Linked DNA regions of Caenorhabditis elegans. The protein of the gene in region 2 interacts with the protein of the main gene of each other region in a pairwise test. Each region holds a gene or a part of one and is shown on either strand. Other genes may lie near its edges.

What was found. The genes of interacting proteins can lie anywhere in the genome.
Region 1: the proteins of ZK131.11 (region 2) and nhr-41 interact in a two-hybrid assay, tested with the Caenorhabditis elegans proteins (one large-scale study listed by BioGRID).

What each region holds. Positions count from the first base shown.
Region 1 is NC_003282.8:1,384,198-1,389,542, forward strand, and holds the start of nhr-41 (Nuclear Hormone Receptor family), read left to right. Parts: upstream 1-2,017; 5' UTR 2,018-2,091; coding exon 2,092-2,094; intron 2,095-3,645; coding exon 3,646-3,763; intron 3,764-3,816; coding exon 3,817-3,953; intron 3,954-4,018; exon of another isoform or gene 4,019-4,090; intron 4,091-4,410; coding exon 4,411-4,506; intron 4,507-5,345.
Region 2 is NC_003280.10:13,790,376-13,795,478, reverse strand, and holds the start of ZK131.11 (TORC_N domain-containing protein), read right to left. Parts: upstream 3,251-5,103; 5' UTR 3,200-3,250; coding exon 3,141-3,199; intron 1,645-3,140; coding exon 1,558-1,644; intron 1-1,557.

The DNA of each region.
Region 1 (5,345 bases), on a different chromosome or scaffold from region 2:
ATTTTAGGGATTTATGAAAAAAAAAAATTTCAAAAAATTTCAAAAAAAAAATTACCCCAAATTTTTTTCGACCAAAAACCGATTAGATATTCATAATGACACTAAAACCAGGTATCAACTCCTATTTTTCCGCCACTTGATAGCGGATCAGAACATCGATAAGCGGATCCGAAGAGGAGCTATTTCAACAAAGTCAGAGCTTCGAGAAGATTTGTTGAAAGCTACTTGTTTTTATACATAATTTATAGTTCTAAAATATTTTCTGAAAATTTCTGAAAATGATTTTTCAGGAAGTTTTCAATAGTTTTTTACCGAAAAAAATCTTTGAAACTCTACTAAGAACTTCTTAATATAAAAACTCGAATTCTTCATCAAAATTCTAGTCAAATTGGCCCCCATATTGAGCCATTTCCTATAAGTTTGAAAAATAGGTCGCGGTGGCTTCGCTGGGTAGAGGTTGGGCTGACGCGCGGAAGACAGGGGTTCAATCCCCGCTGTAGGTGAATATTTTTGTGAGACTTTTTCCATCTAACAAGAAAAGAATCTCGAGTTGGAAACTAGGTTGAACCCTGTATGTGAAATTTTTGGCCCAAAAAACCGGAAATTTTCAATTTTCGCCGCGATGGCTCAGTGGCTAACAGGTTTGGCTGTGAATCTCGACACCAGGGTTCGACCCCAGCCGGTCCCAAATTTTTTTTCCGGTACATTTTTGATCATATGAAATGGGTAAATATTGTCGAAAAAAATTTCCAAAAAAAAATTAACAACAAATCCTCACAGCTAATACTTAAGCAACAAAGCCGCTCACCTATAAATTATCTTAATGAAAATGAAAAAAGAAAATCCGCCCCGGCCGGCACAGAAGAAAAAAATTATTTAACAGATTGAGTTCACGGCTCCGCTAAACACCGATTATCCCCCGGTAGCGGGGGATATGATTTTTGGGGATTTTTCAAGGATTTTCTATACTTTCCATATTTTGATGAAAAAAATTTTACTCCATCAGTGTAACTTTTTTGACAAAATTTGTGAGAGTTACATTTTTGTAAATTTTTTCCAAAATAATGAAAAAAATGTGTGTAATGTCAAAATTACTTTAAAACAGGGGAAACTATGTTAAATTAAGCTGTGCAAAAATGTTCTGGTGCACGTTGGGGTCGAGCCCTTGACCTTCTGCGCCATAGCCTAACATGTACCCAGTTCAGCACACATTTTCACGAAATTTCTAAAAAATTTCAAAATTATCTTAATTAGGCCAATATGGGAGTCACGTTGAAATTTAATGGAGAATTCGAATTTGACGTTTAATTTACTAAAATTTAATTTTTTCAACGAAAATTACTCGACACATGGAAAGTGTTGAAAACTAGTTTCTAGCTCGAAATTTTGTATTTTTGTCACTCAAAAAATTGCAACAAAAACTTATGACCAAGCTGGGACTCGAACCCCTGACCTTCTGCACCATAACCCAGCCTCTACCCGATTGAGCCACTTCGCCCCATTTTCCGAAATTTTTGACAATTTAAAAACTACCGAAATAGGTCAATATGGGGGTCATATTGACGGAAATTTTTTGTAAAATTCGAATTTTTAGGTTTAAAACGTTTAAACCCAAATGCTAAAGACTTAAATGTTCGTTTTCCTCAAAAGTTGTGACCTTTTTTTTTGCAACTTTGTTATACCAAAACCGCAACACATAGTACAGTTCCCCCCGCCCCCAAAATTCGTTCCGCGTTGCTATTAGCATACAATGCCCCCCACGGTCACTCACCTCTGTGTGCACTCTCCCGGTTTCGCGCACTATTTCCCACGCCGCGCGCCACACCGCTTGAAACATATTTCCAGTTGGTCAGCAGCGGCTGACTGACCGGCGGCGCGGTGATAAGGGGGAGAGTCTCCAGGAATAACGGTCTGAAACACCTCTCACTGTACTACTATATTATTCTCTCTTGTTTCTGTATACTCATGTACACTTTGCCAAAGTGCTCTGATCACCCACATCGTCCCCTTATTCTAGAAAATTCCACGTCATCAACTGGGCTAATATTTGCTGAGAGTCAAGCTTCAGCATCCCATCAAACTTGGATTAATATGGTGAGTTTTCTGAGGAAACGTTCATTTTTGTACATTTTTTAGGTTTTACTGAAGAACTAGCACTCAAATCGAAAATATTTCGGTACTTGTGTATTACATGTCCTCATTTTTAAATTAAATTAAACGGTTACTCGTGAATTTTTAGCTGCGAATCTCCAAAACCAAGCTCACGGCGAGCTCTCAAAGATCCTGAAAATAGCACTTTAACGAAGTAGTGAAGGGCCAATTTTCCAAATTTACTTTGGTAGCTCATATCTCAGCGGATAAATTTTTTACCGAAAAGTCATCAACTAATATGTTGTTGATATTTTTGTAAAGAACAAGTTTGTAGTTGAAAGTTTTTGTCAAAAAAATTGTTGTTTCAGATAGAAGCGCATGAAGTGCGGCAACTGCTGCTATTGCGATTTTAATGCTTTTATCTAAAACAAAAAACTTTTGGTAAAAACTTTTAACTACAAACTTGTTCTTTACAAAAAGTTCAACAATTTATCAGTTGATGACTTTTCTTTGAAAAATTTATCCGCAGAGATATGAGCTACCAAAGTGAATAAGGAAAATTGCTTGTTTTGATCGTAAAGTGCTTCGTTACAGTGCTATTTTAGGATATTTGAGAGCTCGCCGTGAGCTTGGTTCTGGAGATTCGCAGCTATCGAATGGCACAGGTTTCATATGCAAGTCCGATGGGCACCTTCTGACGGTTCCCTAGTTAGGAAATTTTATTTCCTAAGCCTAAAAATCCAAAAGTGTGGTTCACGTTTTTATTTTGCACAACTTAAAAAATTACTATAAAAATGAGGGCATGTAATACACAAGTACCAATATTTCAATTAAAATGTATTCAACGTTAAATTCTACACCAATTTACCGCACAATACAAAACAATTTCTGAAAAAAACTTTTTTTCGGGACAATTGTTTAAAAAATTTTTAAAGGCTAATTTTTCAATTTTTCAATTATTTTATTAAAACATTCGAATCTTCCGTCTAAAATCTCTAAAATCCGTTAATTTACCCCCATATTGCCCTATTTCCGATAAGTTAAATTTGGTCTCGGTGGCTCAGTCGGGTATCTGTTGGTCTAGACTATGACGCAGAAGACCGGGGTTCTAGTCCGGTAGGAGGGATTTTCTTTTTATTTTGATTTCTTGTACAAAATAACATGTAAAAGTCTAAATTATGGGAGTTAAAAAAAGATTTACGAAAAAAAAATTCTAAAATGAAATTCCTGTCACTCTAAAACTGTTTCAACCATCAAAACAGTTATAGTAAAAAATAAAAACCACAACTGGGCTCGAACCCTCGACCTTCTGACTCAGCCTAACCTCTGACCAGCTGAGCCACTGGGACCCAATTTTTTGACTTTTCTAAAAATTTCAAAATTTTTGTAAATTGGTCAATATGGGTGTCAACTTAACGGAAATTTCATGGAGAATTCGAATTTGACAATGAATATCTTTTAAAAAAATTCTCTGAATTTAAAGTTTGGAAAAATTGTCTTAAACAGGCTAATTAACTGGAAAGTTTATGAAAAATTATAATTTTCTTATTCCAGACGCTGGGTGACCCTTGCTCCGTCGAGCAACCCCCACCTCCACCCATCGATTTCTCACGGAGCCTAATTGCTCCGACCGCTATCAAACAAGAATCTCACCTAATTCCCTCAACGCCAGGTAATATTCTAATTAATTTTTTTCGAATAAAAAATAAATATAAATATGTTCAGGCACCCCAACAGCTTTCCAACCCCCACAGCATGCGAACACACCAATCCCTGGTATTCAGCCGAATTTGTTCAATCCGGCAATAATGGCGGCTCAACTAAACGTATTCAGCAACCCACAGTTGATGGCAATGATGCAGGTAAACTATTTTCTGCAAAAATGAGAATTCGGCAAAACTGGCAGTGCAAAAATAAAAAAATAAACTTCCCATGCCGGGAATCGAACCCGGGCCGCGTGGGTGAAAACCACGAATCCTAACCACTAGACCACATGGGAGGACGAAACGAGGAGGTCTCGAGTGCCTAGAGAAGAGTGTGCGGGAGGGGCCTGCTGACTGTAGCGGAAAAAGTTATATGGCGGGGGCAAAAAGAATGTCCAATTTTTTTCGAAAAAAAAACGAAATATCTCTCAAATTCTCGACCCTAATGAAAAATTACTATGTGTCTATGTGTGTGGAAGGTCATTCGATAACCTTTTTTTTCCCTCAAAAAAATATCATGAAAGGTTTGATCTCGTTTTCAAAAATATTTTTTAACTTTTGCCCCAAAATTTGTTTTTTTTTTGTTAAATTCTCCCTTAAATTTTTGAATTTCCAGGCTACCAGAAACCCATTGTTAGGACACCCGTCAGTTGTCGGTCCACCAATGATGCCAAATATCATTCAACAGCTAAATGCCCTTCGAAATGTTCAGGTAAAAAAAATGTTGCTCAAAGAACTTTTTTTCAAAAAAATTTTCCAATTTTTCCGATTTTCTAGGATTCCTTTTTATTTTAACACACTTTAACTATCCAAACAAACCTTGAGAAAAACATTTTCCCTTACTTGGGCTCGAACCCCGGTCTTGTGCGCTACAGCCCAACCTCTACCCAGTTGCGCCACTTCGATCCATTTTCAAAAATTTTAAAATAATTAGAATCCGGTCATTATGGGGGTCAAATTAACGGAAATTGCACGCAGAATCCGAATTTCGACATGAAAAACAATGAAAATCAATGCCTCAACCTAAAAAAACACAAAATTTTAACTAGAATTAAAACAATTTTAGGTTAGGACTTGGAGTTTTTCAAATCATTTACTAAATTTTCTGCGTATACCTAATATTCCAATACCCTTTTTTCCAAAAGTTTGGACTACAAGGACAGTGTCGCGAGCGCGCGCGCTCTCTCTAAAAACAGGTTTTGATCACCGGTCGAATTGTAGCTCCGCCCACTTTCCGGGGTCCTCAGGTGACCTCTACGCTGTTTGGCAACTTTCTAGATTAATGACTTTTACATCTCTTTTTCTCTGGGTGTGCTTTGTTGAAAAACTAATTTTTAATTAAAACTAAAGTTTTGTATTTTTTCTAAACTTTTTTCTCTACAAACTTTAGAGTTAGCATAATTTAAATAAAAAATTCGAGTTCTCCATGCAATTTCCGTTAATTTGACCCCAATTTAGACTGGATTGCGATAATTTCAATTTTTCTAATTGGGTCGCAGTGGCGCAACTGGGTAGAGGTTAGGCTATGGCGCAGAAGGCCAAGGGTTCGAC
Region 2 (5,103 bases):
ATTTGATTTACTTTTGGGGAAAGAGGGTACTGTAAAGGTCTGAGAGTGTTACTAAGAGTCTATGAGCGACTTAGAGACTGCCGGTGCGGTAGCGGTGCGGTAGCGGGGCGGTAGCGGGGCGAAAGCGGGGCGGTAGCGGTGCGGTAGCGGGGCGGTAGCGGGCCGTTTTTTTTCCGATTTTTCAATTTTCGGGGGGCAAACAGCAGAAATTGCACTTTTTCGAGCAAAAGTTTTCGTTTTTCGGTTTTTCTATAAAAAAAACCGAAGCCCGGCAGGACTGGACGTTCACAGGATATTGCTCTTTTTCCCCCAACCCAAGTAGATCAAAACCCCTAATGTCCCTTTAACCTATTCCATACAAAATTAGGTCCAATCTCATAAAATTCCTTATTCATCACGTCAATTCCACCACTCAATCACCGTCTTCTTTATTTGAGAGCGGTTCCACCTCATTTCAGACGAAGAGGGCAGAGAAGACAATATATATATATATATATATATATAAAGAAATGAACACATAACATAGTACGACTACTGGAAAAATGAAACACAATTGTAGATTCAGGTTGCAGCAGCAGCAGCAGAAGAATAGGCATGGAAATGGCCAATTAGTACGGGATGGACCCCGATAGTGTGAGGGTGGACGGGGGAGACGCAGAGAAAACCAGTCATCGGGGGATACTGGGATTACCTTTTGCCGTGAAAAAAAGAGGATTGTACAGGCAACCGGGGGCAATCCCATTGTTATCCACCTAATCCTATTTGCCACCATTAAAATGCGCTTCGTGTTCCGAAGTGGGGGGGGGGGGGGGGGAATTCGAAACTTTTGAAACTTTTTAGAGTGGCCGATGATGGAGAAAATTCGGCCACCAATTTCAGGATTTTTATATGTTTTAGAACATTCAAAAAAATTGCTGAAACTGCCAAAAAATTTAATTTTATAAAAATTGATTTTTTTTCACACTTATTTATTTTTAAATTACCGAAATTTCAAAAAATTCCATTTTTTCAAACTTCATTACTTTCTAAATTTTTAGGATTTTTTAAACGAATTTTTAAAACAATACTCTGGAATTATTTATTTTTTTGGAATTTTTTTTTAATTTTTTTTTTTTATTTTCAAAAATTTTTCCGGTTTTTCAATTTTCACAGAATTTTTTTTTTAATTTTTAAATACATTAAACTTTTTCACGTGGTGTCCGAGTGTCTCATTTCGGTTTGATCTACATATTTCTACAAAAAAAGCGGGAGAAGAGACGCGAAGAGTTCTCAACTGATTTTGCATGGTTAAGAATGTGCTGACGTCACATTTTTTGGGCGAAAAATTCCCGCATTTTTGTAGATCAAGCCGTAATGGGGGGCAGCCTGGCACCACCACTTGTTTTTGAATTTCCAACACAATTTTAAAATATTTTGAAATAAATCAAAATCGATTCGGAATTTTTTTTTTTTGAATTAAAAAATTTGTTTCAAATAATCGATATCCTATTTTTCAATTCTCAGTACATTTTTAGCATACAAACGATAAAATTTAAGAAAAAAAAGTCAAAAACCAACCATTTCAGTCTTGAAAGTGGCTCCTCGGACCTTCGCTCCGTCATATTCCTGGCTCCGCCCACTTTCCACGTGCCAAATGCAACCGATCTGAAAGTTTAAAATTTTTTGGAACTATTTTTCAACTTTTAAGATGTTTTCTTTGGCTTCAAAATAGTACATTTTACATGTTTTTCTGCAAATTTCCCCATGCCGCAACCCTAAAAAACTAACCCTTTTGCCTTCATAAAACATATTGGATTGCGAAATACTCCAAACATGCCAACGTGGATTCGGAAAACTGTTTTTGTCGGAAAGTATCAGAGTTGGAAATGAGGAAAATACGTTAGAATATTATTATTTTGATTTTTCCAACAAAAAATATTTTTAAAAAAATCAGTTTTAAGAAAACTTGAAACGTTGGATTTCACGTCGAGAAATGAAAGAATTATAGGCATTTTATATAATAACAAAAAAGAAAATTAGTTTCGAGAACTGTCATGCCATTTGGGTGGCTAAATGGAAATTGGGAGAAATCGGGAGAGAACCTGAATTGGCAGTTTGCCTCCAACTGTATGTCTATAAGAAGGTATATGTCTACAAATTGTCTACCTACCTGCCTACAAGGTGACCTACGCCTACCTACAAGGCGGCCTGCGCCTACACATATTCCTGATTATATTCAGTGTTAGTTGAACAGATATTTGAAAAATAATATTTAATTGGAAAGTTGAGAAATGTGCAAAAACTAGGCGGTAGGTAGGAAGGCATAGGTAGGCCTGCGACATACGCCTACCTACAAGGCGGCTTGTACCTACACCTTGCCTACACTCTTGCCTACTTACAAATCATTCCTGATTATATTTAGTGTTAGTTGAACAGGTATTTAAACAAAACATTTAATTGGAAAGTTTACGAATGTTCAGAAACTAGGTGGTAGGCAGGCAGGCATGAACAGGCAGTATATACCTCATAGGCAGGCCTACACTCGTCCCTACTTCCTGGTCCCTTTTTTCTCACTGTTTCAGTGTTGAACATTCAAAAAATTACTTCAACTGAAAGGCAGGCATGAGGTAGGCACGTAGGCATGTAACAAAAAATTTTAAAGTTAGAATATTATTGTCATTAAACAAGTAATAGTTCTATATAATATCTTTTTCAATTTAAAAATTGTGCGATTTTTCGAAATATTGTTGATTTTGCCCGATTTGAGCACCATTACTACTTATACTACTAATATCTCAGCTCATTTTGAAAATATCAATAAACTTTTAATTACAAAAATATAGACAATTGTTAAATAAATCTTTTCTTAGTTGACAATTTTTTGATAAAACCAAAACCAACCGAGATATGAACCGGCAAAGTTAGGCTAATCGAACATATTTTCTACCTGAAAAAAAACTACCCAATTTCAAACCAGCAAATTTCCAAAATGGTTAGGAATATTAAAAAGCTGCCAACTGACGTATTTTTCAGAAATTTTTGGGCAACATTTTTAGTTGACAATTTTTTGTGAAAATTTGGAACAACCGAGATATCAGCCGGTAAAATTGAGCTAATTTTTATAAATTTTTAAAAATATTTAAATTTTGCCCAATTCTCACCTGTACTGCCGACGAGCATTGAGCGTTGCCGTCGAGCCCATCATATAGGCGTCAGGCATTTTGTGTGAGTCCCAGGCGTGTGTTTGTAGACGTCAATAGTTCAAATAATTCTGAAAATCATCATTGCAGAAAATTTTAAAAAAAACGAAGCGTATTGGGAGAAAAGGTGAATAGGGTAAAACGAGAGAGTGAATGAATAGAATGGAACGTAAATATATGAGAATAAGAAGAATGGGGCGAGAGAAAGTGTATGTATGAAGAAGCTGAAAGAGGTCACAATATTATGTAGTAGTAGTAGTACTATACCAGAATTTTTGGGTGGTGGCCGAAAAAACCAAAACTCGGCCACCATTTCAAATAGAGTCGGGGTAGGAAAATTTCAAAAATCCTATTATTCTAATAAGCTTGCTAATTTTTTCTGGCTTTTTTTTAAATAGAAATATAGAAAAATATCGGCTGGAGTTTAAATTTTCTGAGAAAAATTTTTGGCGGGAATTTTAATTTTCTGATAAAACCAATTTTGGCGGAAAATTCAAACGACTGGTTTATCTATATTTTTATATAAATTTTAAACAATAAAAATCGACTTAACAATGAGAAAAAGGCGAAGAAAGTGAGGGAAAAATAAATTTTTCAAAAAAAAAGTAAACTTGCGGGAAGAATCATAACTCGGGTCATTTTTTAGATATACAATTTTTTCAATCACAAATACAAAATACATATGAGTCCAAAATTGCATGCATTTTAGTACTCCTCATCTCAAAATCTAACTATAATAGTGGCGGTGGTCATCTCTTTCAAATATCACCCACCCCACTCGAAAGCCCTGGTAATGTGAGAAGCGCGCGAAATTCGAATCTCGCCAATCTGTGATGAGCTGAGACTATATAGTGATGGTGTGGCCGAGTTTTTCAAAAAGGGAGCAGTTTTGTATGTCAAATTTAGTAAAAAATTCCCGAAAACTAGGAACACGGCGGCGGAAGCAGTAAATGATATCGGAAAACGAACAAATAGTTCGTCTTCATCATCAATATGTGTGTGTGTGTGGTGGTGGCAAAATGACATATGTCAACATGGAAAGTGCTTGTTCTTCTCATAAAACTATCGAGACAAATGGCACATGGCGGTCGTGGTGCGGGTCGGCGATAAAAGATGTACCCTCAGGAAATTTGAGCGGAATTTATGCGACAAAGCTTGATAGAACAAGACGCATATGAAAATGAAAAAGTTAATAAAGCAGCCGACACCTCACGGGCGGTAGCGGGAGGTAGCGGGCGGTAGCGGGCGGTAGCGGGCGGTAGCGGGCGGTAGCGGGCGGTAGCGGGCGGTAGCGGGCGGTAGCGGGCGGTAGCGGGCGGTAGCGGGCGGTAGCGGGCGGTAGCGGGCGGTAGCGGGCGGTAGCGGGCGGTAGCGGGCGGTAGCGGGCGGTAGCGGGCGGTAGCGGGCGGTAGCGGTGCTGTAGCAGGGCGGTAGCGGTGCTGTAGCAGGCCGGTAGCGGGCATCAGCAGGCGGTGGCGGGCGGTAGCGGAGTTTTTGTAAAAGCCAGTAAAGTGTCCGCTGCAAATCGTGTTTTCCACGCTGCGGCCGACATCTCACGGGTACAGGGATATCCATAATTTGAACCACCTATTTCTCAGTAACCATGGGAGCTATCAAAAAATTGCCAACTAGCAAAATATTGCCTAAAAAATTGGAAAATTGGTTTCAATTTGCCAGTTAACAAGTTTTTCATAATTTTCAAAACTAAAGAGATATAAATGTTTCAATTGTTTCACCTAAAATCTCAAATTTTTGCCGTAAAACCGTCATAACTCTACTGGTTTTGACGATATAAAAAATTTATCAACTAACAATTTGTAGCCCAAACATTTTCCTACAATTTACTATTTAACAAATTTCTGCTCAAGTGCGTGTCCGCTGAGATACATCAGTTTTGCTTGGGGAGGCAAGGGGTGAACCTCGT